2 linked regions of the Xenopus tropicalis genome follow. The protein of the gene in region 2 purifies or fractionates together with the protein of the main gene of each other region. This does not show direct contact. Links are inferred from orthologs where the notes say so. Each region holds a gene or a part of one and is shown on either strand. Other genes may lie near its edges.

The links.
Region 1: the proteins of tap1 (region 2) and tapbp purify together in Homo sapiens (co-immunoprecipitation; 6 studies listed by BioGRID and IntAct, with this or other methods). This does not show direct contact. The link is inferred for Xenopus tropicalis from reciprocal best matches to the Homo sapiens genes TAP1 and TAPBP.

What each region holds. Positions count from the first base shown.
Region 1 is NC_030684.2:72,160,011-72,164,424, forward strand, and holds the start of tapbp (tapasin), read right to left. Parts: upstream 2,996-4,414; 5' UTR 2,844-2,995; coding exon 2,798-2,843; intron 1-2,797. UniProt on the Homo sapiens protein: Involved in the association of MHC class I with transporter associated with antigen processing (TAP) and in the assembly of MHC class I with peptide (peptide loading).
Region 2 is NC_030684.2:73,373,797-73,378,361, forward strand, and holds the start of tap1 (antigen peptide transporter 1), read right to left. Parts: upstream 3,048-4,565; 5' UTR 2,955-3,047; intron 485-2,954; 5' UTR 472-484; coding exon 1-471. UniProt on the Homo sapiens protein: ABC transporter associated with antigen processing. In complex with TAP2 mediates unidirectional translocation of peptide antigens from cytosol to endoplasmic reticulum (ER) for loading onto MHC class I (MHCI) molecules.

The sequences.
Region 1 (4,414 bases), about 1.2 Mb from region 2:
GGTGATGCTACATGGGGGAGTTAAATCTAGAATACTGAGGCCACAAATCTCTCCTGAATGTTTCCCACTGGCGACAAAGTAAATTACTGTTGGCAAAACATATGTAGCATTTCGTTTTCTGATGTCTCCCACATTTCCTTGTGAGGAGCCCAAATGTAACTGCAGGCAACAAATCTCCCTGTGTCCCATCACCCTAAATAAAACCCAGGGATCTGTTCAGCAGGGACAAAGATAAGAAATATCTGCTAATGTATAAAAATAGAATGGTTTATAGATTCAGTGATTCTGGTGAACTATTATATAATAATAAAAATGAAAAAAAGTGTGGAAAATTAATTCTAAATACATTCTAAGCAAGGTATTGGTGAAACCATAGATTATGCAGATCCCACGACTGCTGAGGGGCCCAGAAGCTACAGGAACACACAGTATGGCACTGACTGATAAACAGTTTCAGTATACAGTATGTGTATGAAAAATGTATTATTATTGCTCCAATGTTTGGAATGATTTTGCTGTAGGACCCAGTAATTTCATTGCTAGTGGCCCAAACTTTAGCATGGATAAGGCATCAGCAGATATTTGCATCAAGAGTACTGGAGTAAAAGCTATATAGCTAAATCAAACTATACATTGCTGCTCACTGACTGGGGGAAGGGTAAATGGCCGTTACAGGCATCAGTGCAACATGCAGAGCTCTACAAACAAGTGGGTGCAGGTGTGGGGTGGGATCACGTGCCGTGCCTCAGCACAACAAATAAGATTAACAAAGAGATAAAATGTGCACCAGTTGTTTCTGTAAGGGGTGTAAAGTTTTTGGATTTGCTGAATACTCCACATACTCCATAACACTAAACCCTAATCTGCTTATTTCAGTTTAAGAACTTTTTAAAAACATTCCATCATCTGTGAATAAATAACCATCAGATACAATTTTCCAGAGCTTTACACTTACACATTAGGGAGCCTATTTATCATCCTTTATAACATTTATTTATGCTGGAAAACAGTTTTTTGTCACCTGATTGCTGCATTTTTACAATATTATTTCTAGGGATCCACTGAATCCAGGATTTGGTTGGGGATTCGTCCAAGATTCAGCTGAATCCACGCTCCTGCCCGAACCAAATCTGAATTCTTAAAAACAGATGACTTTGTCACAGAAACACGGATGTTGAAAATTTAACCCATCTTTAACCCTTCAATATCCTAATTTACATTTGTAAATTAGGATTCAGTTTGGTATTTGACCGAATCCTTTACGAAGGATTTGGGGTTCTGCTAAATCGGAAAATAGCGGATTCAGTGCATCCCTAATTATGTCTACGGGGCCCTTACGGGTACCCATTTTGGTTAAGGTAGTCATAACTCAGTCCTTCCAAACAGAGTTGCCAGCTTGTTGGCCCATGTAGGATACCCATCAACAGGCCTGTCTGACCAATATCTGGCTAAAAATTGCCCAGATATCAATCGGGTGACCTCCCCAAATCAGCAGATCTTTAGGTCTATGGCAGTTTTAAGGGTTTGTCCAAAACCAGATTCTGAAGAATGTGTTGGGATTCAGTGGGATCCCAAGCTGAAAACAGTATTGGAATCCCTAGTTTCCATACAAATATGCTGCACACAACTCTAAAACTTAAGAAAGGAAATCAAATGCTGGTTCTAACAGCTAGTTTGGTTATTGGATCCAAAAGCACAGAATACTACCTATAATACTGTAACATTAAAAGGAAATACCACTAGCTAAAGGAGGGGCTGGAGAACAGGGGCGGGCCAAGCCGACCGGGCGCCCTAGGCAACCCCGCCCACCTCCCTGCCCCCCGAACGGCGCATGCGCGCCAAAGCACAGGAGGCGGTGCAGGGGGGGCGGGGCAATTAGATCGGTCATTGCCTCCGCCGCTAATGACAAGCGGCGGTGGCAATGACAAAGTAGCACTAGGGGTAGGCAGGAGAGGCTCCTTCCTGGCGCCCCTCAATCGTTGCGCCATAGGCAGCTGCCTCTTCTGCCTACCCCTAGTTCCGGCCCTGCTGGGGAATATCTAGGCAGAGAGAACTACAAGATGTCATCCCCCACTATATATGGTACTTGCCAGACAAAGCTACTTTGGTGTTTGTACCTTCCTTTAGATCCCCAGACAACCTTTGCCTGTAAGAGTGACATTGTAGCACAGGGGAGCCGAAATCGAAAATATAGGCTAAGTCGCGGGCCAAATTTTTTTTTCTACTTAGTAGTAGAAGGATAGATTCGTCAAAGTCACAGCACAGTCAGGCACAGTCACCATGGGCCATATAAAACAGCTAGGTTGGCCGGATTCGGCCCCCGGCCTTGTGTTTGACATGTGTTGTAGCACAACAACATGATGGCACACCTGTATTTTGGGTCAAATCTGCATGCTTTGGCTGAAGATCTGGGAGTTGAAGTTTTACTTTTACATAGTAAAATACATTTTGTAACAAAAAGTCATTGTCTATTGTGTGGAATCGAATTTAATGTAATATATTATCTATTTAGTCATTGCATTGTTAGACAGGCCTTCAGTGTGCAAATACATTCACAGCTCAAGTATACACTAAGCAATATTAAGTAGAAAATGAAAGCAAATGTTTGGAAAGGCCCTAATCGGTGACTGAAATCAATAAGAGCAGCCAGACCGTGAGGGGGGGGGGGGGGGGGAGGAAGGCAGAGGAAAGCAGGGACAGTTTGGGGAGAAGATTCGGGGGGACAATATAAGGCAAGAGAGTTGGGGCACGCTGCAAGTAGGAAAACTGTACGCAAAAAACCTTTTATGACACTTACCAATCAGCAGAAGGGACGGCAGGAAGTAGAAGAAAGTGGGATTCATCCTGGCAAATGTGTGCAGCACAGAAACAGACTCCCTAGACCTGTGGCCGGCAGCTGTACAGAACAAACGTTACCGTGTGTGCAGCGCTTCTCCCCCCTCTGCTATTCCGCAGCTTCACTGATCCCACAGTCTCCTCCTCTCCTCCCTGTCTGTCTCTTTCACTTTCATTTTCACTCACTTACACAGCCCCTGTGCTACAAGCATGGAGTAACTCAATCTGCAGTGTATTCTTCTTTGGCCTATTTGGATTAATTTACTAATAGGAACATAACCAGACCTTAACCCTTTCATTGCTGGACAATTTAGTCAACCTAAGCTAGAGTTTTTGTGTAATTCCACTTCTCTTACAAGATAAAGGCTTTTAAATGTCTGAAAATGGGGAAAACAAATCTCCATAATATAAACACAAAAATACAATTTTCAATTTCAATTTTGAAAGTCCTGTGTCTTCTTAATGTGCCAGTACCAAAGATTTATAGTGTAACACTATTTTGGCTTAGATTAGCCAAGCCCAGGCTAGTAGCGTAGTGTAGCGCATGTGTTACATGCGACCCTTAATTCTTAGGCGGGGCCTCCGCTATATGGAGCTGAGGGTATAGCTGAACTATAACTTTCTGAGGCTGTGTAGTGCAGATGGTATAAATGGACGCCAGAGTGGTTCTTATGGTGAAACTATGATACAGATTTATTGTCCCAGACAAAGCAGTGGTGAAATCAGGGTAATCATATACTCACAAGACACAAGCAGTATGATGGTACAAGTTATATACGCTCTGATGCAGAAGAGAGGGTATGCACCTTTTTATCCCACCTCTTGGTAGAGTCTGGGACGGGATACACATCTTTCAACCAGTACCCCTTGGTACTTTGTGGCCCTGCACTGAGGCAATATTGCCGGATAGGAGACTACTCCTGGATCTAATCACTCCTTTGGTGGGGCTAATGGCTGCCCTTTCTAGCTAGAGCTGACTATGCACACTTTCCTAGAAAGTGCTATTAAATAATCTGCTGTGCTTGCTTATCCTCATTTACGGGGCCCTGTCCCCAACTTTCACTAGAGGTATAATGTCCTCTAGGGTACAATGTCTTCTGGGGCCTACAGTCTGCTCCCAGGCTCAGATGGAGCTCTGCTTGGGAAACAGCATGCAGCAAATTACATAACTAAACCTGAGCATAAAAGCTTTGCCCAATAACAGTGAAGGTGTGAAGAGGTAGGGTGTAAAGCCATAGGGAACTTAACCCCATGGGTCCCTACAATAGTTATATGGTGATTTCTCACTTGTATAGGTCAAAAACTCCCAGCAGTACACTACCAAATTTCCAAAGCACTGCTCCAGAAAGCTGCATACTTTAAATTTCAAGGCCAAAAGTTCCACCAATAGTAGGTTTACCCCAGAAAATAATACATTTTTAGAAAGAACAGATTCTGGCAAATTCAGAATAGGTACAACTGTCTGTTTACTCCAATATACCAAGTTGTAATGCTTTCCTAAAGTTGTAATTTTTTATATAATTTTTTTGTGAAATTTTTGAAAAATTGCTTCAAAGCTTCCAGTCTATAGTATCTTATC
Region 2 (4,565 bases):
CAAAAACCTGAATATATAGGGTTTTAGGAGGGCAATTAATCGGCCCAAAGAAGCAGCAGTCACTTCAGCATCTTTCTTCTCAGTGCTGTATGGTAACAGCTGGTGCACAACAACTGCTGAAATCAGTGTGAGCAGGTAGCACCAGAACAAGATGACCCAGTGAGTCCAGCTGTAAAGCAGATTGGCACTTCTATGTGGGTTCACTAAAGAGGTGAGACTAATATAAATAGGAACAAGCAGACTTAGTACAGTGCAGTACAGGTTTAGATGATCTCTGTGGAATGGGAGCCTGAAGCTTCTACTGAGTACACGTAAACTCAAGATCAAAAACAGCAACCGTGACAAGCCAACCAGCCAAGGTAATATTAGAGGGAGATCTGAAGGTAAGATGTGAGAGAGAAATGATCCTATTAAGGGCAAGGTGGCAATATCAATTGCAAAAAGACAACTCAGAGTCCAGAAGGGATTCATGGTGAGCTTGAATCTGCAAAGAGAACAACTGAGTTATGCCAAGGTGCAATGGAGAATTAAATGTAGTGGATTAGGCTACCCCGATATGCCCCCATATTTGAATATACATCTCTTTGAACAAAAACAACAAATACTGATTATAGCGATTACATTTACAAATATAACTCTACATAAAAACTGTAAAATACTTCTTTTATATAGAGCCATGCCTAGGTATAATAATCAGGCACAATTTTATTGGTTAAAAAAAGCCTTTTAACAGAAAGAAATTTCATAAAACCACTTAAAAATTTAGAACCCAGCACCATCGCGTCTACCACTACCACAGTGCTCCAAATACGTAGTATTAAATAACATTAGCCTAAAGTAACTTACTTAAGAGTAGCTGCCTGCATCACCAGTAGTGATGTGCGGGTTGGCCTGATACCCGCGGAACCCACAAGTTAACCCTCGGGTCGGGCGGGTTCGGGCTGAGCTCTTCCGCTCACCCTCCCTGCCCGCAATCTTACACTGCCGCTTCTCTATTTATAGATAAAGTAAGGAGCCTGAAAGAAAAAATCTTCCACGCAACTTATGTGTCCGGACACATGAAAAGATCTAATGCATTTGAGTAAGCAAAACCAGATTCCCAGAATCAGGTGAAACATTAAACAATAACTTGCCTGCATCTGATAGTGTAAACAGTGCCGGATTTGTGTTCCGGGCTCCCCGAGGCTGCCCCCCTCTCCCCTCAGATGCAGGTGAGTATGACCCAGTGACTTGTTATTTTGCACACCCTCATAAATGAGCCCTAGACTTTATACATGTACCAATATTTTCGTACAGTTATCTGCAGGTGAAAGACACCCCTGATACACATGTTGGCTAATGCGTGGTACAATGGCAGAAATTCACTTTCCACTGTTCCAGTTCTGCTCTGGCACCAAATCATATGTCAAAAACCACAGCACCCACACTATAACTGTAACATTAAAATTAGGGATGCACCAAATCCACTATTTTCAGATTCGGCTGAACCCAGAATCCTTTGTAAAAGATCTGGCTGAATACAGAACGGTATCCAATTGCTAATTTGTATATGTAAATTAGGATCGGAAGGGTTAAAAGGCGTGCATGACGAAATATTTTCTGCTTTTGTGTTTATATGACAAAAACTGATTTTAAGGATTTGAATTCAGTTCAGCCAGGAGCATGGATCTGGCCAAATCCAAATCCTTCGGAAAAACCCCGAACTGAATCCTGGATTCGGTGCATCCCTAATTAAAATACAGCTATCGGACCCCTTATCCGGAAACCCGTTATCCAGAAAGCTCCGAATTACGGAAAGCCCATCTCCCATAGACTCCATTTTAATCAAATAATTCAGAATTTTAAAACTGATTTCCTTTTTCTCTGTAATAATAAAACAGTACCTTGTAATTGATCCCAACTAAGATATAATTAATCCTTATTGAATGCAAAACAATCCTATTGGGTTTATGTAATATTTTATTGATTTTTTAGCAGACTTAAGGTATGGAGATCCAAATTACGGAAAGACCCCTTATCTGGAATACTCTTGGTCCCGAGCATTCTGGATAATGGGTCCGATACCTGTATATGTGATGTCTGGGGGAATGGAAGATTTAAGCTATGAGGTTAGACTGTCGAGGTTGGGGGTGTTTTCTCTGGAAAAGAGGCGCTTGCGAGGGGACATGATTACTCTGTACAAGTACATTAGAGGGGATTATAGGCAGATGGGGGATGTTCTTTTTTCCCATAAAAACAATCAGCGCACCAGAGGTCACCCCTTTAGATTAGAGGAACGGAGCTTCCATTTGAAGCAGCGTAGGTGGTTTTTCACGGTGAGGGCAGTGAGGCTGTGGAATGCCCTTCCTAGTTATGTGGTAATGGCAGATTCTGTTAATGTCTTTAAGAGGGGCCTGGATGAGTTCTTGAACAAGCATAGTATCCAAGGCTATTGTGATACTAATATCTACAGTTAGTATTACTGGTTGTATATATAGTTTGTGTATGTGAGTGGATAGATTGGTAAGTATAGATTGTGGGTGCTGGGTTTACTCGGATGGTTTGAATTTGATGGACTCTGGTCTTTTTTCAACCCTATGTAACTATGAATAACCCCTTTATAGTGAGGAGGGTGCAGCTGTGGGATGGTGCATAGCAAGGCTCAGTCCTGGACTAAGATTCAGAACAGTCCCTAGCACTGAAGCAGGAGCAGAGTCCCACCAGCCCACTAAATAGTGACTATATATGACATCTATCAGTGGGCCATCTTGGCATTTGCCAGAATTCACAGATTGTCAGTCTGTGCCTGGTAAGACAAGACTGTGTCTGTAACACTGCTGATCTACCTGCAGTCTCAGTTTTCTCCCTGTGTAACCCTTAAGATTTACTGTCCGTAGTCCGTTCATGTGAGAGTTGCAGTTTGTACAAAATGCCCTTGTACATAAGCCAGGGCATGCAAAGGAGCCCTCACTTACCTCTCAAAAGCTGTGCGTCCCCTCAGTGTACCTGCTCGCTCCTTTGTATGCCTTGTCTGTGTGTGCCGCCTGGCTTGGCTGCAGGGTGCGCAACTCTATTAGAATTAGAATTAAAAATCCCCGTATATTCCTGGAAACGCACAGCTTCCAGTAAAGCGAAAGCGAAAGCAAATCATACTGCCAAAAACATTGCGATTATCTGATCTCACCGCGGCAGTGTTGCTGAAGCCTTTATTCACGGCAGTCAGAGAATGGAGCTGTACAAGGCTGGTTACTCTGCGAGGCTTTGATGACTGGGTCTGGCTAGGTAAGTGCTATAGCAGAGTGTCCGCGGCAGTATCGCCTCCATTTATTATTAAATTTTCCCTCTCTTCATAACTAGACTGTCTCTAGGCTGATTTCCTAACATCGGGCAAAATTACTACGTTTAGTTACCCTTAGCAACCATTCATCAGTTTGCTTTGATTAGTGTGTTGCAGGTAGAACGTTTGATTGCCTAATATAAAGAAAGTAAAATTGGGGTACACAAAGTACTTTTTTGTATGGGGAAATTCCACCATTTGAATATTTCCTATGCTCTTAGTTGCTAGAAGACCAAAGTCCTGACAAAGGGTTCACCTCACTGCCTTACTGGAAAGCCATGTGCTAATTTTTATGTATTTATATTTTGTTTCTGGTCTAGAGAGGAATTCTTGAGAGCTGTAATGTCGCCCCCACCTTTCATAATAAAGAAAAGGGAGAAAGTACATTTGAAATGGCAAATAAGAGGTTATCAAGCATGTAGTGGGTGGATATCAAGAGGATCATTTAAAATATATTGGGCTTTGCTAGTAAGGCACTTTTTAAAGGAGACATATCCTATAAAAATTTACAATGTGCCAGGGAATTATACTCCTCTAGATATAGAAGGATTGTGCTAAAAAAGTTGTGTTTCTGGCTGATTTATTGAGAAATCCGCCCAAAACCTCACTAGCCCCGCCCATCTGTTCCACTTCCTGCTGGCTGAATTCTCTGGATGCGCTGGGGAGCCGATGGCCCTCCGTACCCTGCACTATAAGATAGGAACCAATCAGCAGCTAGGCTGACCTGATAGGGAACTGAAGCCTGTCTTTGCTTGTGGGAGTGCAGGGCTGTGATTGGCTCTCCCCCTCCTACTGTGCTTCTGGCAGGGACCGTTAGGACACGCCCACTCTTCATTTCACACTGGACAGAGAAGTGAGAGGATCTATAGGGAGCTCCAGTAAAGGGGCCATTGTTACAGATAGGGTTAATGTTTAGCCCAAAGGGAAACCAGCACCGTATATTATTCATAATTGCCTACAAAATTAGGGTTTTCCCATTTATCCAATATGTCTCCTTTAATATAGCAACAAAAAAGTGTAATACAGAAAAGATAGAGTTTAGTGTAGAGATTAGTGTTGCAACAAACACTGATAAGTAAGCATAAGATTTTAAGTTACCAAACATATATTGCCTGGAAGCATCATAGGGTATTGGGTCTATATATGTACTCTGCTCACATCTTGTAGTCTTAGAGATTTATTACAGGCATTGTATACGCCTGCTGCCATAAGATGCAGCTACTGTTTGTGGGACAAACTGCTTCAGAGC